2 linked regions of the Lonchura striata genome follow. The protein of the gene in region 1 purifies or fractionates together with the protein of each later gene. This does not show direct contact. Links are inferred from orthologs where the notes say so. Each region holds a gene or a part of one and is shown on either strand. Other genes may lie near its edges.

Region 1 (11,890 bases):
ACGATGTCACCAACAAAACGTCCTTCGACAACATCCAGGTACAGCAGCAGCCCCAGCCCCTCCGGCCGCCCCTCACGCGTGGCTGGCTGGGTGTGGGCGTGGGTTCCTTCTGGAGGTGTGTGCTGCTGTGGGAGCTGGGGTCGCTGGCAGAAGGGCTGTGCTTACTGCTGAGCACCTGCAAGGACAGGCAAGGGACAGGAGAGAAGGTTTTCCCTTTCACAGCACATAAAGGGTGATGGATTCACTGCTCCGGCCAATTAACACTGTGTAATTACAGCACTGGCAGAGAACTTGCTGTAGTAGCCGAGCACGGGAGCTTTCTCCAGCGAGCTGATCCCTCATCCCCCTCTGCTCCTCCAGGTCACAGTGGGTCGGGGTTGGGCTCCTCACTGCCACCCCAGCTTAGTCCAAACCTGGCAGGGAGGGGGTCCCAGCCCACCTGCCCTTCCTGCAGCCTTGGGGGCTTCCTGGTGCTGCCCAAGTTTGCCCCTTCCCTGGGTCCTTCAGGGCAGCTGGCCAGTGCTGCTGGGGCTCTCCAGCCTGGCAGAGGGGGAGAGCAGATGCTGCCTCATGGCAGCAGGGGGGTCAGGGACACCTGGGCACTCAGTGTCCCCTCTCTGCCCCACCGGCCCCGTGTGGCTGCTGGAGGCCACCTGTGCCAGCGCTGCCAGAGCACGTCCTGAGCCGGGGAGCAATTATCCCTGACTGAACTGGATGTAATTGCTCGTGTCCCGGGCATGAGAACGCCGTGAGCATCCACGGGGAGCAGCCGTGCCTGCACACACACCCAGGGCTGTGGTGGCATCAACACCCTGGGGCTGGGATGTGTCCCACGGGCTCCTGGGGTCCCACAGCTCTTGATCCCCTGTGGGACTGCAGCTCTCCCTGCTCCGGAGCATCCTTCCCTCGGCAGCACCACACGTGCCACCCCTCTGTGCCTGCAGGGACAGGGCAGGGACAGGGCAGGTCCTGCCACCCTGCTCCGTGTCACCGGCGCTGGGAATGCTTCCCACCGTGTCCCCCAGGCTCTGGGTCTGCTCAGGGCTGGTGGCCCTGTGAAAGAAAATCCTGTGGAGGTTTCACATTGCTGGGGAACACGGCCCTGCCTGCAGCATCAGCAATCCTGAGGACACAGGAGAGATGTCCCTGCAGGACACACAGCCCAGTGGGAAGGAACGAGCACCCAGGGGAATTGCCAGGCTTTGGAGAGAGGGGTGGGGGCAGAGAGCAGCCAAAGGGAGTTAGGAGAGACTCCAACCCACGATGGAACGGAGCACCCTGAGCCCAGCCTGGGTGCAGTGCTGTCCTGAGGTTGCAGCCTCACGTGCTGGGTTCCTGCTGGGTTTGGAGCAGGGACCACCAGGACCACCAGGAATTGCCATGAGCCCTGCAACAGCACTGGAGACAGCAGGAGGCTGCTCACACCACGGGGTCAGGGATTACAGGGAATTAGAGCAGGTTTGATTGGATTAGGCTGGATTAAAGGGCAGGGAAGCCACCCCACGGCTCAGGGGCAGCACGGGCAGGACACGGGCACAGGGCACATCCCAGAGCCAGCCCTCGGCCTTGTCCTCTGAGAGGAGGTTCAGTCTGAACATCCCAGCTGAGGGGAAACTGGGGTCAAAGCCCTACAGCACCAGATGGAATGGGCAGGGGAGGTCAGAAAGCTGCTGTTACCTGGGAAATGGGGATCTGGTAGCAGCCAAAGTGGGTCCCCCAGGGCTCAGGGGAACCCCAGGGTACCCCCTGTTGTCAGGGATCATCTCTGGGATTGTTTGGGATGCAGCATTGCCTACTGAGGGTGTCCATGCCAGGAGTGGTGCAGCTCCCCATTATTCCCATTCCCCTCCTTCTCCTGGAGCCATTGCCAACCCCTCTCTTTGGCTGTGTCCCTCCAGGCTTGGCTGACAGAGATCCATGAATATGCACAGCAGGATGTGGTCCTCATGTTACTGGGAAACAAGGTGAGCCTGGGCTTTGCCACGGCCTCCTCTTCCTCCCACGCTGGAGGCACAGGCAGGGGAGCCTGGCAGGGCATGAGGGCACAGGGAGGTACCTGCTGGTGGCCTTCCAAATCACCACAAATTGCTCTTTGCCATTCCTGTTGCAGGTGGATTCAGCCCAAGACAGAGTGGTGAAAAGGGAAGATGGAGAGAAGCTTGCCAAGGTAGGTGAGGTACCTGAGCATGTCCCTGAGAACCAGGTCACCTGGAGACCAGTCTGACCCAAAATACACCTGGGAGCACTCGGTGTTTTTCCCTTGTCATGCTCTCCCCTTTCTCCTTATCTGTTCTTCCTTTAAGTTTCTACTAGTATCTCTTGATTCTGTCCTCAAAAATTACTCCCAAGAGCCCCTGGGAACACCCTTGGTGCCACTCCTGACAGGGCTGTGTCTCATCCCACAGGAGTACGGAGTGCCCTTCATGGAGACCAGCGCCAAGAGCGGCCTCAACGTGGAATTAGCGTTCACAGCCATCGCCAAGTAAGTGACCAGAGCAGGGGCCTTGTCATCCAAAGGAGCTTTAGCAGTGTCCAAGCCACGCTGAGATCAACTGAGCTGGGCAAGGCAGCTCGGAATCATAGAATCCTGGGATGGCTTGGGTTGAAGGGACCTTAAAGCCCATTCAGTTCCAATGCCTTGCCATGGCAGGTTTCCACCATCCCAAAGCCCTGTCAAGTCTGGACACTTCCAGGGATCCAGGGGCAGCCACAGCTTCTCTGGGCAACCTGTGCCAGGGCTTCACCACCCTCACAGGGAAGGATTTCTTCCGGAGATCCCATCTATCCCTGCCCTGCCAGCAGGGATAGATGGCCATTCCCTGTGTCCTCTCACTCCATGCCCTTGTCCAAACTCCCTCTCTGGCTCCTTCCAGACAAAATCCTCTCCCTGCCAGAAGCAGCAGCATGAGAGTAACATCTTTCCCCTTTCCAGGGAGCTGAAGCACAGGTCCATGAAGCTGCCCAACGAGCCCAAATTCAAACTCCACGACTATGTGAAGAAGGAAGTGCGAGGCTCGGGCTGCTGCAGGTCCTAACGTGCATTTGCAGAGACTCAGGCCCGTGGGCAGTGTGTGCATGTCTGTCTGTTGTGTCTGTGTCTGCCCCCAAGGCCAGCTGAGACCAGGGCACAGGAGCAGCAGGAAAAGCTCTCTGGGATTCTGCAGCCCCGTTGGCTCCGGCTCCCCTGGCCAGCATTCCTGCCCTGCTCACAGGTGGGAGGTGGTGCTTGGGAAGGGGCTGGGGTCTCCTCCTGTGCCTGCTCTGTGAGGCTGCTGTAACCTTCGTGAGAGCCAGGGCGTGACGCAGGGGAACCAACACCTTCTCCCCACCTAGGAGGAAAGAAGTCCTGATTTTTTTCTGGGTAGGAGAACGTCCTGAATTCCCTTTTCTTGCCCTGTGTCCCTGGAATTCAGCTGAGAGCCCTGGCCTGGGGCGTGCAGGATGTGTTTGAAGGCAGCCATTCTTGTAGTTGTTTTCTCCTGTCTGTCCATCCCTGTGAGGTGGGACAAGCTTCCACAGTGAGGGATTCTCCTGTTCCCTGCAAAGGCAGAGCTTGGCTGTCCAGGTGAGCTCCTGCACACCTGGCTGTGTACAGAGATTTCTGAATGTTCATCCCTTTGGGAAAGGCTCTGCTTCTTCTCCTTCCGCCTTTCTAGTACTTTGAGAAGAAACCTAATGTATTGCAGCTTATTCTAAATACCTTCCTGTAAGTGTGATGGTGTTTTCAGACTGCAACAACGCTTTGATATCTTCAAAGTTCTCTCGGGCAGCTCTCTCTTTGCACCGCAGAGAGCTGGGGGGAAGCTGCAGGCAGTGATTTTACAGGCTGCAGACTCTTGCCAGCTCTCTTCAAGGGCCTCCTCACCCCTTTGGTCTGTGTCAGGCTTTTGGCTGTTTTTTTTGTCAAGCTGCACTTCTCAGTACGGATTTGAATCTGGATGAAGTGTTTGGCCTTTGGCGATTTTTCCCTTTGAAAACTCCACGCGCACATCAGCAGGTGCCCGCCGTGCCAAGCCTCGGTGGCTCCTCCAAATGAAGCAGAATAACCCATCTCTGCCCTCCAGCCAGCACACCCCCACAGCTGCTGACTCAAGATCCTCCTGCCTCTCGTTTTTCCTGGGATTTTGGCTCCAGCACCACCTTCCCGATGGGCACGAGGAGCCTCTGCAGCTCCCACATGCTCTGAGCTTCACTCCTCAAGGAGCTACAGCTTCACAGGATGAAAAATGATCTTAAACCAGCTTTTCCCTAAATGGTATTTTAAGGGAGAGATAAATCTTGAAGTTGTCTGATTTAAATTTTAAAAATACCTGTGGAAAACCCTTTCTTGCAGGAACGTTTGCATTCCTGGCAAACTCTGCTGCCAGTCCTGCAGGAGCAGCCAGGTGAGCTGAGTGATGGGGGGGCTCTCAGGGCAAATTTGGTTTTGTGAGGCAGGACCAGCCTGGCAGAGGCAGGGAACAGCCAGGCAGCTCCACAACTGTTTCCTCATCCTGCCCTTGGAGCAGCAGCAGCCCAATTCTGAAGGGACAAGGAGCCTCCCAAAAGGCAAAATTGAGATTACTAATGGATTAGGATTCCTAATATCACGTTGCTACCTTCCCTCTCCCTCAGACTGGCATTGTCTGGTTACAAAGCTGGCAACTGCTCACTTCTCTCTCAATGCGGGTGTAAACCCAATAAAAACTCCTGTAATTGGGGAAGATGTAAATGATTCCCTTCAGCGCATTCCAGCCTGCCTGTGGTTCAGCCCTGAACCCGGAGCAGGCTCAGCTGCTCCCTCCCAGTCACCAGCTCCCAGTGTGGGACTGGTTTCCCAGTGCCCGCACTGGCCTGGCCCCGAAGCTCCTCCTCACGGCCATTTGGGATTTTCCGGCCATTTGGGATTTTCCGTGGGCCTTTGCTGCCACCACGCGGAACTGCTCAGCAAAGTTAATTATTAATTATTCGAGTTAATTGCTCGGTGCACCCAGCCACGTGCGAGGACTCGGCCTCACCTGCAACATTCCATTTCCGCTGGCTCTTGTTTACAGCTTTCAGTTCATTCCTGTTAATAAAATTTTTTAATACTCTGCATGGCTACAGCAGCATTTTCATTTGTCAGTCGTTCAAAGTATTTCAGCTCAGCCTCTAAACCATCTGGATCTACACAGCAGAACCAGGGAATAACAGTTTGAACTGGGTATTGGGAGAATTTCTCCCCAAAAAGGGCTGCCCAGCCCTGGCACAGTGTCGGAGTTGCCATCAAACCAAAGTGACTCCCAAGATTGCAAAGAAGGGAGTGGGGCTGAGCAAAGTGCTGCAAACTTAATGCACTCCAGTTACAGCATTTCCAGTCAGTCTGTGGAGAAATGCTGATAAACAGAAGAAAAAAACAGATTTTTCAAAACTTTATTCACCTGTAAGCTACAAAATTTACTTTATATAGAAACCAAAGTTGAAATACAGTAGTAAAGCATTTACAAGTAAAGCTTGAGATTGGGAAAACATTACAGGAGTAATTTGTTATCTTCTGTGAAAAATGCCAATCACTTGGTTTTAAAAATTTTAAAAGTTTAGTAATAATAAAATGGTTATAAAAGTAGTAATACAATCAGAGTAATAAAGTTTTGAGTTAGGACAATTACAAGACAATAAAAAGCAAAGAATTACAGACATCATGCTCTCGGACACTAAGTCACAAAAAGCATCCCTTGTGAACAAAGGAATAACCTTAAAAGCAACGGCCTGTTGTATATTCACATATTCCTCATGGCTATGCATACATTTTATTTAAAACAAGAACTCTCTGTGGTATATCAACTGTTTCCTTTAAACCCTAAGGCGCCTTCAAGTCGAGTGAGGCCTGAAGAAATTAGCTTCTTCTGATAAGAAAACCATAAATTCCTTTTCAAGATTTAGGTGTTCCTCTAAACGAGTATCTCATTCCTAAAAAAAAACACTCCCCCCACAAACATCGTCTCTATTTTAACCTTCTGTTGGAACCTAAAACTATATTTAGCCCACTACATAAGAGAATACAGCATAACTTTCTAACATTACAGATGTAATATTAGTGGCAATATTTGCGAATTTAAATTATTAATTAATTAATATTTAATTATTAATTCATTAATATTTGCTGTAACTTACAAATTATTAAGCTAACATTGTTCTGTTGTATACATTGACTTTATTCAAGCACGAGTTTCTCGTGAACTTCCCTAGGCCTCTGACCAGTTTCTCATGATTATTCTTACGATTAAACAGTAATTATATTTAATTACTAAACAATCATCACATCTAACAATTATATCATTTATAATGTACTAGCTACAGAGGTGCTGTTCTAGCAATGTACAAGGCCTACATGTACCCAGGGTATTTTTTCAGGGCCTAATAAGCTTAATTTTCCTTCTAACCCTAAATCCCCACGATTTAAAAACCTTTTTGCTATCACGAACGCCGCCTTCGAGCGGCCCAGACCGCCGGGGAGTGCCGGGACGGGGCACGGAGCCTCCGGGACGCCGCCGCCGGTTCCCGCCGAGCCCTGAGGGGAGAGAAGGCAGCGCGTGAGGGCAGAGCCCGCCCGGCCGCCCCGCCGGGCCGCGGCTCCGCGGGCCTCAGCAGGGGCTGCTCAGCAGGGGCTGCGGCCGCCCGCCGCCCTCAGACGAGGTGTCAGAAAGGTTAGTGTGGATCATCACCGGCCCGCCCTCGGTAATAGCGCCGGTACCGGCCGCGCTTCCCTCACCCCTCGTCCTCTCCTGCGCCGCGCCTCTGGCTGGAAAGAACGTGCTCGCGCCACGCTACGTTTTTTATGGCCACTGCCACGCCACTATTGGTCAGCCTGCTGTGGGCACAGCCAATCTCCAGCGGTTGGCGTGACCACCGCCCCACCTCTAGCAGCGCTGATTGGTCGCTGTTCTCCTCTCCACCAATGGCGACGCGCAGCGCAGCGTGGCCCGAGGCGGTAGTTGCCACCTTCTGATTGGTCACTGCAGTAGGCCGGGCAGAACCAGTAGCAACAGCGGTTGTAGCATGGAGTGGCTCTCCGCGGGGCGTGTTGGGAGTTGTAGTCCATGCGACTCGGCAGAACAGGCAGGAAGCGGCGCACGGGACTACAAGTCCCGAGGAGCGCTGCGCGCGGCAGTTCCGGGCCGGGCGCCGGTGAGGAGCAGGCCCGGGCGCGATGTGCCGGGACCGGGCACCGGCGCTGCGGCCGCCGCCGCCGCTGGGAGGTACGGGCGGGCCGGGGGGCGCCGGGCGGGCCGCGCCGGGCGGCTCCGCCACGGGAGGGGCAGGGCCGCGGGCCGCGGAGGGGCCGGCGGAGGCTCCCGGTGCCCGCCGCCCGCTGTGCCCGGGGTGCCGGCGGCTCTGTGGGGCGCTCGGAGCAGCTGGAGCATCCTCTGCGCTGTTCCGGCCCCGCTCACTGCCGCCGGTGTGTTGGCTGGGTGTCATCGCGTAGCTGCGGCTTTTTCTGCTCGGTTTTGTCGTTTTCCGCTCCGTTCCGTGCCCGACCGCAGCACGTGTTGCTGCTGCCGGTGTTTCCCTGCCCTCCCGGGAGCCTCGTTTCGCTGGGCTTTGGGCCCACAGTGTTCACAGCGTGGGCTGGCCGGGAGTGGCTCTCCGTGGCTGCCGCAGAGGTGCAGGTGTGGGTCGGGGCTGTGACCTGCGGGCTGTGCATTGTGCCGACCTGTCCTCTACTCAAGCCAGCTCTGGGGCTCTGTCCCCTGCCCTTATGGGCTGTGCATTGTGCCAACCTCGCCTCAAGCCAGCTCTGGGGCTCTGTCCCCCGCCGCTGCAGCCGCTGTCCCGCTGACAAACGCTGCCAAACTCTGGGATCCCTGAGCCGTGTGCTGGGAAGGGCAGCGGGGAGCATTTCCCTTGGGTTCCCCTTCCTTTGGAGCTCTGCTGGGCTCAGAGGCAGCGGCAGGGCCGGTGGGTGTTACAGGAGTGGCTCCAGAATTGTCCCAAGAACTGTGACCCAGCAGTTGTCTTTGCCACTTTGGTAACGTTGCTGTGCCTTTGTTTCAATCCCAGCAGTGTAATTCTGCCTCCCTGCGTGTTTTCCCCCCCCAGCGATGTGTTTCCAGGCTGCACTGAGCACTCGGGTTCCTCTTAAACAGCTTTAAAAGCTGCAGCATTTTGGCCTCAAGTGTTTTTGGCTGCTCCTTCCAGCCACAGCGAGGATGGTGGGGCTTGCAGGAGAGGGTTTGGGGGTGAAGGATGGTTCCAGAAAGCCTTTGATGGGTGAAAGTAGTCTCAGATCACAGAATCCCAGAATTGTTTAGGTTGGAAAAAATCTCCAAAACCACAGAGTCCATCCTGTGACTGATCACAGCCCAGAGCTCTGAGTGCCACGTTGGACATCTCCAGGGATGGAGACTCCAAACCTCTTTGGGCAGCCCCTTCCATGAGGAAATTCCTCCTGATGTGCAACCTGCACCTCCCCTGGCAAGGGAAATCCCTAAAATCCTGCAGGAAGCTGCAGGAGCGGGTCCTGTCTGCAGTCTGCTGGATTCCCTCCAGGCCCTGGGTCCCCTGTGTGGAGCAGGGAAGGGACAGGCTGAAGCTCCAGCGCTGGGTTTGGTTTGTGTGCAGGCGACACTGCCTCAAGGAGGGAACGTTTTACCCCGTGGAAATGGGAAACCTGAGCCACAGTGGTGTTTCCAGGCAGGGGATGCTGATACCTTCATTGCTCATACTCAAACAGGGGTTTTCATATTGATTGGGCTCAAGGAAGGAAAAAAAAACAACAAACCAATCCATGGTTTTGGGGTGGTTTGGTTCCCTGAGCTGGGGGATTCCAGGGTGAGCACTCCTGGGGCAGCACAGCCCCTGGTGGCCTGGAGCCACGTGTGAGCTGCAGGTGGAAGTTTGTGTCCCCTGCCTGCAGTCAGCCCTTCCCTTCCCCGAGGTTCTGCCAGGGCCTCGGGGAGCCCTGCAGGCTCTGGGTGGCTGCAGAGCTCCGTGTGCTGCTGCCAGCCCTGCCCTGCTCCTGGGGCTGCTCCTGGGCGCTCTGCAGCCCCAGTGGGGTTCAGCCATCGGTCACCCCGAGGGCTGAGCCTTCCCCTGCTGCCAGGGACCTTCCGAGCCCTGCTGGCCTGGCTGTGGCATTTCCTGGAGCGTGACTGTGCCTTTCTCACGGGTTATCCCGGCCAAGCCCAGGTGTGGCAGGAGGAGTGCACAGGAGAGAAAATCCTTCCTGGTCCGTGTTCAGTCTGTTGGAGCTCTTCCCTCCCGGTTTTTATCTGCACACACCAGCAGTCCCTGTGCCCGTGGCTTGGATCAGGGGGTGTAGGGAAGCTGGGACAAGGAGGGAGGCAGCTGGATGCTCACACGGGTACGTGTCACCCCTCTTTGAGCCCAACAAGTCCCCCTGGAGCCTAAAGGCAGCAGCACCCCAAATTACCCATTCAAGCTGCTCCTGCTTTGCCTCAAGCACAGCTATTGTAAATGCAGGTGAACCCAGTGGGAAGAAATGAGGATGTCTGACTCAATTCAAAAGGCTGAATTATTTCTTTATTATAACTATGCTAAAATACATTAATATACTATATAAAAGGAGGGTACTAAAACTACATACTACTTTCTCTGACCCTAACTCAACTCGTGACCTTCTCTGAGAGCGCAGCCCCAGGTGGGTTGGATTGGCTGTCAGGCTCAAACAATCCTCACCAGAATCTAATCAAGCAATCACCCCAGGTAAACAATTCTCCAAACACATTCCACATGGGCAAAACAAGGAGCAGAAATAGAAATTGTTTTCTCTTTCATTTCTCTCTGTGCACCTCTATGAAAAATCTTGAGAGAGAAATGTGCTTGCCACACACAGCCTTGGAGGTTCAGAGCTGCCTTTGAAGGAGGTGTCCTGGGGGCTGGAGCGGGGCAGTGCCTGCTCCTGGGGCTGCCCCAGCTCTGGGAGGGGTGTCCTGGCAGTGGGAGTCCCCCACCACCACCAGTGGCTGTGTTTCAGCCGAGTCCTGCTCCCCAGTTCTGCCTTTTTGGGTCACTGGGTTTCCCTGGATCATCTCTCCAGGCAAAGAGCGCGATGCTGTTTGTCATGCAGAATTCTGAATAGTTGGGGAACTATAAATGAGGGTGAGAAACTCAAACTCCCCTTAAAGCGAGCGAAGGGCCTTTCTGTCTCAGGAGCTTTCTGTGTTTGGGGGAATAAATCCGTGTGTGCTGGGAGAGGGATGTTTTTCCTGCACCGAACTGAACCCGGAGCAGCCGGGGCAAAGCTGGGAGGCAGCGTGGAGATTGGCTGAGCTGTGGGATTTTCCAGCTGCATTTACATATCGCCCACTGCTCCGCATGCCTTTGTGTTTACATCACCGGGGAGCGATCCACACACGCACACACGTAGCGGAAAAGGCACTTTGGCCGGGGAGAAGCCTGTCCCCAGCTCAGGAACCGGGCATGGTGGTGGCATCTTGCCGGGCTCTGCCGCTCCACGATGGCCAAGGGTGAGTTTGCTCCAAGGAGAAGTGTTTGCTCCGGGTGCTGGGTGTCAGGCTCTCGGCAGCATTCCCGGGGAAGCTGCTCCCCTTCAGCAGCGAGGGAGGAACTGTTTTCATCCCTCCTTAGGGAGCAGGAGGTACCTGAGTCCTGCAGCAGCTTGGACGGGGGTACCTGTGGCCCCTCCAGCAGCTGCAGCTGTGTCACCCTGATTTTCTGGTCCTTCAGAGTGACCTTTGCAAGGGCACGGAGTGCTTGATTGCAGCAACTTGGCAAGAGTGTCCTGAGGTTAGTCTGGTGTTCCAGAAGTGGGAAATCTTCACTATTCCTTAGGCAGAGCTGTGAACACAGAAAATAAGTTTGTAAAGAGAGGCCGTGTCCCCTGGAATTCTGAGTCACCCTGGGGGAGAGTTTAATCTGTGGGGTTTGGGGTTTTTGGACACTGAGTGGTGCTTCTGTCTCAAAGCTGTCAGCAGATTTGCCGTGGTGGAAGTGTCCACATCTCCTGATTTCTTTTGGAATAAAGGATTTGCTTTTGTTTCTCCCAGGATCACTAATTTGATCGATGAGTGTTGGTGTCTACAGGTGCCTCCTGCTTGTTTTCAGTAGCAAAACCCAAGGGAATGTACAAAAAAAGAGCAGGTGACTAGAATTTGCTGTCTTTTTTTTTTTTTTTTTTCCTGAAGAAGAAGATGATGTATTTAAGCTGGATCTTTGAAGTGTTCTAGTTGCATCCAGAGGGCAGAGAAGCGTGTGTGTCACGAGGTGCCAAAACTTTGGAGGATGTTGGGGGGAGCAGGGGGTGGAAGTGCTACTTTGTGCTTTTTGAGTCATGGCTATGGGCTCAGGTTTGCTATGACTTTAATCTGGAAGAATCCCATAGTGTGGTGGGGTGGTTGCAGCTTTCCAGAGGATGCAGTGCAGCCAACCATAAGGCAAAGCAGCTGGAAAAGGCCTCAGCCATGGCACAGGAATTGGGGAATAAAGGAGAGGGGAGCTTTGCTTTGACTCTTGCAGGACTCCAGGAGAGCAGAATCCAGGTGAGACAAACATTGCTCTGGCTTCCTTGGAAGAGCAGAAGCCAAATTTCTCCATCCCCCAGGGGTTTTCACTTGAGCTGCAGGCCCCTCTCTCTCAGATTTGCAGCAGGGAGAGCAAGAGCAGAGCTGAGGCAGCCCACAGGACCCCGTGGGGTCTTGGCAGCCATTTATTCTCTGTGTCAGACAGGTCTGAGGAGCACCAGGTGTGGTGTGAGTGGTGAGGGTGACTGCTCTCAGCTTCTGAAGTGTGGTACCTTCCATCAGGATCTGCCTCGCACAGAGCTGACTCTTCCCTCCCGAGGAACTGCAGCAGCACTGAGATTTCTGCCTTGGAGTGGGAGGATGTTGTTGGTTTCAGGGCTTGGCTGGGGTTTTATTCTTTTTCCTTCACCAAATCCACAATTGAGCAA
Region 2 (11,478 bases), on another chromosome or scaffold:
GGAACTTCTCTGTAAAAGGGATTCAGTGGGACTATTTGTTTCTGCAATTTCATGTTGTGTATTTGTTCACGAGTCTTTCCAAAGCAGTTAGCTTATGTTTTATGCAGAAGGCTAGCTTCATAATTAATCAATGTCTGAATAACAAACTAGATTTTCGCAATGCTTAAAGATGACAGATGTGGGACACATACGGTTTGTAGAGCACGCAGGGAGCAGATCCTGCTACAAGTTAAAAGCAGAACGGGAAAAATACACCTTTTGTAAGGAGGAAACATCTGAAGAAGGCCCAGTCAGAACTAAAGTCACATTAGGATTATCTTTGCTAAAACCAATGGTTTCTGCCCAGGTCTGTTTTAGCTTTCACAGGATCCCAAAATGATTTGGGTTGGAAGGGACCTGAAAGCTCATCCAGGGACACCTTCCACTGTCCCAGGCTGCTCCAAGCCCTGTCCAGCCTGGCCTGGGACACTGCCAGGTGTCCAGGGGCACCCAGAGCTGCTCTGGGCACCTGTGCCAGGGCCTGCCCACCCTCCCAGAAAGGAACTTCTTCCCAGGATCCCATCTATCCCTGCCTTCTGGCAATGGGAAGCCATTCCCTGTGTCCTGTCCACTCAGGCCCCTGTGAAGTCTCTCTCTACCCCTCTTGCAGGCTCTCTTCAGGCACTGGAAGTGAGTCCTAACTTGGTCCTGAGAGCACCCAACATCTCAGATACATCCACTGTGGAATCCAGAATGTTGCACCAGAAACATCAAGCCTAGACCAGATCATGAAAGGGAAGGAACAGAAATCTCCCAATGAATTTGCAGAAGGTGTTAATTACAGAAAAAAAATCTTAAAAAAGGAACGCAGAGCAGAGAATATAAAAAAATCCAAATCAAAACCCACCAAATCTCTGCTGTCCAAGACAAGCCAAATGAGACAATAACCACATTGTGGCAGCAGAGAAGGGAGAGCACTCCTTGACATTCCAACTGCATGTGAAAGAAGCAAGCGGTGTAACACAACCAAAGCAAGAGGCTGCTTTTTGAGAAGCACATCAGCCAAAGGAAATAAGTGCTGGGATCTATCTCAGCACTAAGTAACCCCTTGTGGGATGAAAATCTGAAGAAACAGCTGTGAATGAAGCTAAAGTTCCAGGTGGGCAATGGCACAACTTTTTCCTTCCTTTTTTTTTTAACTTTCCAACTTTACAGTTGAACATTTAACCTTTTACCTTTACTGGAGTGTCGCCAATTTACTGGTATTCTTTCATTTTGATGGTATTAGGAGCAGTCTTGGAGTCACCTGACAGACAAAGGCTGAAACCATGCACAAGAAAATACTACAGCCTATGGCCTGGAACATCACCGACCTTCCTACCACCCAAAACACTCAGGGAAGAGTCGGGCTACAAGTTTTCCACTACAGTGCAGTTTGGGTTTGGCCAGATACCAGGAGGATGAAGAAGAGCTTGTCTTGGCAGAGCTCCTTTGGGCAAGAAGCAAACGAGCTAAGAAAGCAGTTTATAACTGAGGGCTGATGACAAGAAATCAAGTCCATCAAAGAATATGTCTGGGAAGAAGAATTCTCCTCTAAACAGTATCATTACTGGAAAACAAAGATCAATGGTTGCAATGGCTGGCTGCAGGTGTTCTACCCCAGTTAGTGCCCTGCAAGGTCTGTATCTTACTCACTGCTGTCATTCTAACACCAAAATATTATTTATCTTCATAATATGGGAACAGTCAATGTTCTAACAAAGGGCATGGAACAACTTCAGGTGAGTTTGAATCTTATTATACCTTTTCTAGTAGTTTTACACTAAGCTATTTGTTCCCTACTACTAAACCATACATCCTGTAATTCACCCCTATGTTGATGAGGTAGGACATGACAGAATATTTATCTCTTAAAAGGATAAAGTCAAACCTGATCTGAGCTTGTGCAGGGAAAAATTGTATCTGGTGAGGACAGCAGAGTGATGGATTCAATGCTGAGAAGTATGAGTACTTCTTTAGTTCCATCCCAACAGAGGATTCTCATAGACAGACTTGGAGCAGCACGTGGAGCAGCATTACATTAATTGCACAATGCAGAAGCTGCTACAAATGAAAATGAAGCAATTTTTGGAGTACTGAGAGACCCTGTTTTGCCTGGTCTCCAGTCGGTCTGGGAAACACAGTTCTGCTTTGTGCGGGAAAGATGTTGTCCAGGAAATGCTTTTCATGTTTTAAAAACTACACTCAAGGATTTTTATAACTTCGATAAAAGCGAACTGCTGCTCACAGAGAAAGTTGTTCCTCTCCACAAAGCATTTACTTCAACCAATCCGTGGTTTATTACACAGGTCTGAACAAGTCAGAAATGGAAACAGTTTAGAAAAAGGAAAAAAATAATCACAAAGTTAGAAGCGCAAAAGTATCTGCATATGTCTGAACCCCCCTTATCTGGATCATGTTTTATATGGTGTCACAGTGGGATACATGATGCCACTTTGGTGTAAAAGAGAAAGTGACCACATCTGTGTATTTGTTATCTACCACCACAACAGCAAAGCTGGTTTGGGCGAGTGATTGGCAGATCCGGGAACAATAAGGAAATTTTAGACAAATTGTGTCTATGTTAAAGGCCTCAAAAAAGCCTTCAAAAGAGTTTCATTTTGAGTCCTTTGCCATGGGCAGTTTTAGTGGTACCAAAATGCTGCTGTGTGCAAGCTTCAGGAAATCCCAAAGGACCTGGCTTGTAGAGTGAGAGAAAAAAACAGAGAGCTCTACGAGGCTTATGCTCGCAGGATGCATTGAGGGTCCCTGTTCCATTCACAGGTCAGGGGAAAGGCCTGGGCTGTGGGGTTTGAGGCTGTCCTGGGCTGTGGGGTTTGAAACTATCCTGAGCTGTGGGGTTTGAAACTATCCTGGGCTGTGGGGTTTGAGGCATTCCTGGGCTGTGGGGTTTGAAACTATCCTGAGCTGTGGGGTTTGAGGCTGTCCTGGGCTGTGGGGTTTGAGGCTGTCCTGGGCTGTGGGGTTTGAGGCTGTCCTGGGCTGTGGGGTTTGAAACTATCCTGGGCTGTGGGGTTTGAGGCTGTCCCGGGCTGTGGGGTTTGAAACTATCCTGGGTGTGGGGTTTGAGGCTGTCCCAGGCTGTGGGGTTTGAAACTATCCTGGGCTGTGGGGTTTGAGGCTGTCCTGGGCTGTGGGGTTTGAGGCTGTCCTGGGCTGTGGGGTTTGAGGCTGTCCTGGTCTGTGGGGTTTGAGGCTGTCCTGCCCACGGGCTCAGCCACGCTCCCTCCGCACTGTCGCTGGGTGAGCCAAGGGAAGGAAGTGACACAGGCAGGAAAAGCCAGCGGAGCAGGGAAGGCTGCAGGGAGCAGGGCCTGCGCCCCCAAACCCGCAGAGCTCACCCCGCACAGCTCAGGGCCGCAGATCCCCCTTCTCCAGCCTGCCAAGGAGTGTCCAGAGGGAAACAAACCCCAGGAACCGCTCCAGGTGAGTGGCTGAACCACTGGAGCTCCTGCAAACTCTGCCACCAATCACCCCACGCGTCCTTCAGGTGGGTTATGGAACCAGATTATGGTGGAACGGTCCATGAAATTGTATTTTTTCATTCTGCCCTCACATGTTTACAAACACAGGTCCAATTGCTATTGGAAGACACTTTCATGGAAATCCAAGTTCCTACTTCTAAACCATTTTAATATAGAAGGACCCTGCTACTCTAAACAGAGTGCATTACACTATTCCTCTTTGTAGCAGAGAAATCTAGTGATGGATTTGCATGAATTTGTTGTATTTACAAATCAAAACAGAGTAAAGAGATATTGAAGTAGTTGTAGAATAACATTTGCAACGCTTTTTGAATTTAAAGTATAAAAGCTAATTATGCATACAGACTAAATGAAGGAGAGTCTCAGAAAACTAAACTTGGTTGTTGGGAAGAAACGTTTAAGTTGTAGCCCATGAAACCATGAAACTCCAGACTTAGAAAAGCAGGAATTTCCTTGCCAATAAGCAAGTATAAGTTAAGTTCTGGTTTAGAGCAATCAAAAGTTTAATTCTAGCACCTCTCTTTAAGCTGAAAAAGAAATTAGGAAGCACAAGACCCCCTCCCTAAGCAGTTCTTTATACAGGACATACACTTCAAATCCAAATTAATTTTACTTAATCAATCAAATTCAGTCATGGCAGCTCCTCATAAGAACTTTTTCCTCTTGAAAAAGAGTTCTTCCAACTCCGTTGCTTGTTTTTACATGTGGCCGTCTGGGCTAAGAATGGCAAATGAGAACTCGGGGGGGGTTCCATAAAGGCAAATCTTTCGCGATGGACTCCCAAGCTGCACGTAACACTAGAAATGTCTCCAAGTCAGCCTGAGCACACCTCCCGTCCCGTAAGAGCCGCGTCGGGAGCGGAGAGCCCCGCGCTCGGCGGGGCACCGCACCTTCGGCAAGACCCGACTTTTGCCACTTCGGCCAAATCCTAGCAAATGCACCGCTCCCCCCCGGCGGCGCCCGGAGCGGGGCCCGGCCGAGCCCCGCGCCCCGTCCCGCCCGCAGCGGCCCCGGCCCGTGACGCGGCCCCGGCCCCCGGGGCTTCTCCGCCGCTGCTCACCCATGTCCGCGGGCGGCGGCCCCGCTCGCGGCGGGCGCTGCGGAACGGCGCTGTCACCGCCGCGGCTCCATGGCGGCCGGGCCGAGGGGAGGGCTCACAGCCGCCGCCGCCGCCACATTCCCAGGCCCCGCGCCGCCGCCTGCTGCCGGCGGCCGCGCTCCGGGAGCGGCGGGCGGGCGCTGCGGTGCGGCCCGGTGCCCGGTGCGGCCCGGAGCCCGGTGCGGCCCGGTGCTGCCCGGTGCCCGGTCCGTGCGGGCCGGCCGCGCCGCCGCCGCCCGCAAAACAAACCGCTCGGCGGCCGCCGCGCACCCGCCGCCTCCTGCCAATCACAGCGGCACCCGCCGCCGCCCGCCAATCAGCGCCGACGCGGCGCCCGCCCGACGGCGCTGCTGGCCAATGGGCGCGCGAGCAGCCGCGCCGCCCGCCCCGCCTCCCCGCGGAGCCGGCTGTCAATCACGGGGTCCGACGCGCCGCGGCGGAGCCACGCCCCCCGGCCGTCAGGAGGCGGGGCCTCACAGACCACGCCCCCCACGCGGCTGTCAGTCAGAGTGACGGACGGCGGCGCGGCTCCGCCCACGGGGGCCGAAAGGAAAAATGGAATTTTGTTCTGCCCGTGCTGCACCTGCACTGAAACACCTCTGCGAACCAGGCCGCAGGGCTAACGAGAATAAATGTTCTCTTAAAATTAACTAATAAATTATAATTAAAAAGTCATCCTGGACTGCGTCTGATGCAACTACCGGGTAACTGTTCACACAGCACAGTGTGCTGTCATCATGTAGCCTAAGCCAGGAATTCTCTGAATCGTGAATGTTTTGGCTTGGAAGGGACCTTAAAGATCATCTCGTTCTCCCCTCTGCCACAGGCTGTGTTTAAATGAATCAAATCTTTTAAAGCAACCCCCAGCCTGCCCCCTCCCAGCTTGTGTCTGTCCCACCTGCAGGATGGAATTTTCAGTGTCCTTCCCACGAAGGAACGGCAGAAGGGGTTTGTTGTTTTGAAAAGAAGCCCAACCCGACTCCCTGTTGTGGTCAGGGCCGCCCTGCTGCTGGGAAACCCACCTGGAGCAGATGTTTCAGCTGCTGCTTCTCAATCTGCCAAACGCCTGGCAGGGCTCTGCTCACAAACGGCACAGCAGCAATGTCAAAGGGGTCACGGAACCCGGAGAAGAAAACTAGGCTGGAAAGGGAAATTGCTCAAAAGTGTGATCAAGTGCAGGAATCTGAACCTACACATCAGGAGGAATTTGGGACTTAGTCAAAACATGACAACATTATCTGTAATGTAATTTAAAATTTTTATTTATTTTCACTGTCGAAGTAGTAAAAAGCTCTTAGAGTATCATACCAGGTAGACACGGAAATAGGAAAAGGGATCCACAGACACAGCCACTTTCCCTTCTTAATACAAGCCTTGTATTTGTGGTATCAAGCTGGTAGCTTTTTGTCCCTGTTCCAGTTTGAATTTCTCTCTCATTCAACAGCATCATTATTGATCTTGGAACCACTTTTTGACATGCTGTTTCACAGCTTCATGATGGCTTATCACTATCTTTTATCAACCACTAAATCTCAGTTTCCTTTCCTTACTAATTTCCAATAAAATACTCTTGGTATCCTCCACAGTCTCCTCCTTGTCCCTAAATTCACATCCTTGCACTCTCTGCTGCCACATTTAATCTCATCTCTATTTCTCACTCTTCAGTCATCCAATCTCCAAGATACTCAGTTCCCTCATATTACTGAAGCCTCCCACTTTTGTTCATCACCAAATTTGATTTTAATGCTGGCTCTTTGTGCCAGGATCATTATAAAAAGGCTTTTCTAAGAGAGGGAAGAGCCCACCCATACCCCGGGAGGCAGAAATTTAGTATCAATTCCCCACTGCACCAGCCCTGATTTTAAACCAGTCCATCATCACCTCACCATTTGCTATTTTTGCCTAGCTTGGCCTGCTAAATGAGAATGATTCCATGTCCTTTGTGCAGAAACTTGCTTTCCCAAGTCCAAAAGATAGTAGAGTGGCAAGTGGCAGCTTGTGACAGGAGCCAGAAGCTCCTGGCAGATGGGAGAAGACACACTCTGGTGGAACTCGCTCTTCCCACCTCCAACTGCCCAGGGCATCTGCATTTCACTGAAGCTTCCCCGCATCTTTTACCAAATTGAAAATAGAATGATTTGTCCTTAACAGCTCATCACTTCACCCACCTGTCAAGCCTAATGTGTAAACTAACAATTTTATTTCTTGATTTGTGGTTTCCCCATTTTACAGACATTCTCGCATCACTATCTACATGCAAGTGCCATCAGGACTTTTTTTGACCACTACAGACCCTCACACCTTTTTTTTTCCCCTCACCAAGCTGCTAAATCTTTCCTGAACTGGAATCCAAATTTCTACCAGAATCAGCGCCCCTTTTTTGTGTAACTTGAGAAAAAAAAATAATTCCTTTCTGACTTTTACTGTGTACTTAATACTGTACTGGTTTTGTGCATAATCACAGAACCCCAGAAGGGTTTGGGTTGGAACGGGCCTTAAAGACCCCCCAGTGCCACCCTGGCATGGCAGGGACACCTTCCACTGTCCCAGGCTGCTCCAAGCCCCATCCAGCCTGGCCTTGTGCACTGCCAGGGATCCAGGGGCTGCTCTGGGCAACTGTGCCAGGGCCTGCCCACCCCCACAGAGAGGAAATATCCCATTGAATCCTTCTCTCTATCAGTCTGAACCCAGTTCTTTTTGTCCTGCCATTGCAGTTCCTGATGAGGATCAGGTTGTTTTACAGTAGTTGATATTCCGTGGTTTTCCACCTGAATTGTCCACATCCTTCCAAAGCTGCAGCTTTCAGCAGAGAAGCTTCACTCCTGTAAACAGCACCTGCAGAACACACTTAATTCTTGAATTTATTCAGATTGTCTGATGCCATTTAATATAAAACCATCAGTAAAGATATTCACAAAGACTCTCCAGTCTGTGACTCTGTGTTCCCAGTCAGCCCATTTGTTTTAAAAGAACTTTATAAGGCCTAATAGTTCAATGCTGTCACACAGCATCAACTAAGAAAAGGAAGTGCAATCCCTATTTTAGGGACTTAAGGGCATTGTACAGAAAGTCAGCGACTTGTTAGAAGTTACACAGGAAATCTGGAGTAGACCTTTGGGGCATTTTCTGAAGCATACCTGACTCAAAGAGCCCCTTTTCCTTGCTATCAGATGTGCTGTTTCTTCTTTCCTTCCTGCTTCCCTTCTTGTTTAGGTAGACACATCCTTCCTGGGGAGCTGAGCAGGCTCCAGGCTGAGCCTGCTTGTCCCATGCCAAAACTTCCTTATTCTACATCTTGGACTCCACAGCCACAGAAGGGAGCAAGGAGGAGAAACTCTGTAAACAGAACTGGAGAATCCTTCAATGGTTTGGGTTGGAAGGACCTTAAAGCCCATCCATGCCACCCCCTGCCACGGCAGGGACATCTTTCACTGTCCCCAGGTTGCTCCAAGCCCTGTCCAGCCTGGCCTGGGACACTGCCAGGGATGAGGGATCCGATCTTCAAAGGATGCAAGAAAGGGTCTTGCACTGTTTTCAGCAGATGTAAGAGTAATCTCATTAATCCCAGGCAGTTCTTGTCTCTCCTAAAAGTTTCTTGTTGTGTTCTCAGCTTTGAAAACAAAGAGGATGGAACACCATCACCATTACCCAGCTGTAGGACAGCATGGCAGGATATATATGGGCCCAGATGCATCTCCCCCCCCAGCAGAGACATGAATCACCTGGAACTCCTGTAAAACGCCTGCAGCAGCCGTTCTCGGCCGGGAGAAGCAGGTGTGCCCCGGAGCTTCCTGCTGCCACGGCTGGGCCTGGCTGCCAGCAGCATTCCAGCAGAGGGGGCTCTGAAGCTGCTTAAAAACCAGAAGCTGCTCTGCCTTTGGAATGGCAAAATCAGAGAAGGAAGGGGAGGAAGAACGTTAAAAATATTATATGCTTTTAGATCATTACTTCCTCTGAGCTGACAGTCTGGACTGTTTCTAAAACAGCACGAGTGAAAAAGCTCTAAATTAAATGCTTCTCCCAGTCACAGGCCCCAGAATAATCTCAGAGATCACTTTTTTTCTACAGCTATTGCTGTGCATTGTGTTACCACGGAGGGCTTCTTTCAAGTATTTTCGAGCCCTTTACTGATTACTGATTAATTATGTGCTTGCCACTTACAGCTTGTTTACCAGAGCAGGGACTTTCCCACGGTCACAGAGCAAGACAGCTGTGCCAGATGTTGGTTGTTCCATAATATTTGTCTTTTTCCACCTACGTTCCTCTACATCATTTTATGGCACTTGTTTTGCCACACTGACAGGCAACCTGCTTCACCCATTATCCACCAGTCCACCACTTTTTGCTCTGCTCCAATTTGCACAAGCTACCTCCTTCCACCATAGTGGCAGGTGAGAAAGTTTCTCTGGAGTATTCCAAAACACAAATCCAGGGACAAAAATAATCTGTGAGGATGCAAATACATTTCTAGGGTGAAAGACAAACACTTCTTGGGAAAAAAGTATTTTTTCTGAGCAGGAGTTACTAACACAAAGTCCATATATAGCTTAAAAACCACTGCAGCATCTGCAGACACTCTTGCCACTGTGGCCATGAAGCTTAGTAAGCTTTTATTTCAAAGCCAGTACACAAAGAATTAGAAAGAAATCCAACCGTTCAGTTGAACTAGATTTAATCTAAATACTTAAGGAAGTCATCAGTCCTGCTTGCCAAGGCCTAAGGTACAAATTTCCAAGCTCTGCCACACAATTCTCCTCTTGGCCCCAATTCCGGACACAACAGCAGTGACTGAGTGTGTGGAAAAAATACCCTTTAAGAGAGGTCACCCTGCCCAGGAGAGACTTAAAGCTACAGAAGTGCCCAATTGCTTCATTTTCACTTTGCCTATATTAAAAATCCCTCAGAGACTGATTATTTGAATTCTAAAAAAAAAAACCCCAAAAAACAAACAAACAAACAAAAAAAACAAAGTCTCTCTTCCCCTCGTCTTAAAAACAAAACCACACAGCAGATAATTCCCATTTTTTTTGTGCCGGGAACAAGCAAAGTGTTGGAAAACACGTGCAGAAACAACACTGGAATACACAGACCCTGCAGAAGGCTTTTAAGAAAGCCAATATTTAATGTACAGCTGCATTTTTTGTTGTAGTTCTGTTGTGACTGGGTTACTAATAATTTATTTGGGGAAACTTGCAACTTAAGAGTAGCTGGAATTATCAAGTTTGTTTGGGTATTTGTAGGACAAGGGATCAATATACTTCACCAGCTTTGCAGAGGCAAGGCAAAGCAATCCACCTCTTCTTACAGCACCTAACTGCACACAGCAGAAATGAAGTTCATTTGTAGCTCCCTGCTCCCCCCAGGTTTTCACTCATCACACAGGGAACTGCAGTCAATCTACAAATGTTCCGTTTTTATTACAAAGTATGAAAGGCAGAAAATACTGTACCTAATACACAGGAGGCCGAAACTTAGAAAGAAGGTTAAAAAATCTGAATAAAACTACATAGGAAGCAGGAAATAGCATAAAAGGATGCAACATTCCACTTTCAAGCAAGTTCAGAAAATTGCCTTAAAATTTACAGTTTCAACTATATGGTTCCATGACTCAGGTGTTAAAATCCATTGTAACAAACCCTTTTATATTTCTCCATAAAAATAAAGGAATATAGGGACACTGCAGTTATCCATGTCAACAATATATATCTGTTGAATAGCAGGATACTGGGACTCCTCTAGGACAGAATAGTAGCGAAGTTGCAGGTGGAGAAAAGGACAGAAGTAAAATTACTATTGCTTTAACATACTCTAGTGAGAACAAGAAGTCAGGAATCTCATATGGATGTTTGTACAATCATGCTACAAAGATTACACCTTCAGGAAATTACCACAACGGGACTGTGAATGGGGAGAGCAGAAGGGAAAACACACCTAAAAGTAGTATCTCCTACCCAGCTACTGGTAACAAAAATGCTTCGGCGCAATGGATTTAAATTACATTTTACACTGCTAGCAACCCAAGGGTTAAAAAAAAGATATTTTTAAATAGTAGATTTCATAATTCCTATTTCCCAAGTTGTCAAAAAAAGCAACATACCTTTTTCCAGCTGCACTGGGACTCTGTCCTGCTCTGGTTCTTGCCTTTCTGCCTTGCTAAGATTCCACAGAGCCACCCTCAGCACGAAGAAGGGTTTGGAGTTGCATGTGTTGCACATGGAAAGCAAACTCCAAGGAACGGGAGCTGGACCACAGGCTGCACATGGCCATAATATTTCTTTAGGAAATAGCTTTTTTTCCTTAATTTTGTTAGATTTCCTATAAAGAAATAAGCTTGATGGGAGCCACTGAGATAATTTTAAGTATTTTTATGACTGTGGAAATTCTCGCATGATGCCAAGTATTAGAGGCTGCACAAAAGGCCACTGAGGTCCTTGGCAGACACACTTGTCAAATGAAACAGGCAGCAGCAACTCTCACAGGTCCCTTCACATCTGATGTCTGCCATGAGTCAACAGATGAGCCTTCAGTGACTGGTATTTAGCTGCATTTCTAATTACTGTTCTTTTTACTGCTGGTGAAAGGTGCTGATTGGAAGTTCTGGAGATCTCTTCCAGAAAACAAACCAAGTCAGGGCCATTCTAAACTTTCCTCAATACCCTCAAGAATGAAACATTTCTGACTTCTTGGGTAAGCAGGGAAAGTACAGCTGCATCAGAAAGTGCTCTTTAAGTGCCACATACAATTAATTCCCTGGATTCCCTGCAAAGATCAAGAGGAACTGGGACAGACTTGACAGTGACTTGCTCATTGCTTTCCATGCCCACAGAACAGTAGGTACAGGCTTGCTCTGAAATA

Evidence for each region.
Region 2: the proteins of TRAF7 (region 1) and MAP3K3 purify together in Homo sapiens (affinity purification with mass spectrometry; 5 studies listed by BioGRID and IntAct, with this or other methods). This does not show direct contact. The link is inferred for Lonchura striata from reciprocal best matches to the Homo sapiens genes TRAF7 and MAP3K3.

Annotation. Positions count from the first base shown.
Region 1 is NC_134618.1:16,959,428-16,971,317, forward strand, and holds the start of TRAF7 (E3 ubiquitin-protein ligase TRAF7), read left to right. Parts: upstream 1-7,109; 5' UTR 7,110-7,217; intron 7,218-10,177; exon of another isoform or gene 10,178-10,448; intron 10,449-11,890. Other genes in the region: RAB26 (ras-related protein Rab-26), read left to right, coding at 1-38, 1,899-1,964, 2,111-2,167, 2,406-2,482, 2,933-3,035. UniProt on the Homo sapiens protein: E3 ubiquitin and SUMO-protein ligase that plays a role in different biological processes such as innate immunity, inflammation or apoptosis. Potentiates MAP3K3-mediated activation of JUN/AP1 and DDIT3 transcriptional regulators.
Region 2 is NC_134627.1:8,988,789-9,000,266, forward strand, and holds the start of MAP3K3 (mitogen-activated protein kinase kinase kinase 3), read right to left. Parts: upstream 4,711-11,478; 5' UTR 4,589-4,710; coding exon 4,585-4,588; intron 1-4,584. UniProt on the Homo sapiens protein: Component of a protein kinase signal transduction cascade. Mediates activation of the NF-kappa-B, AP1 and DDIT3 transcriptional regulators.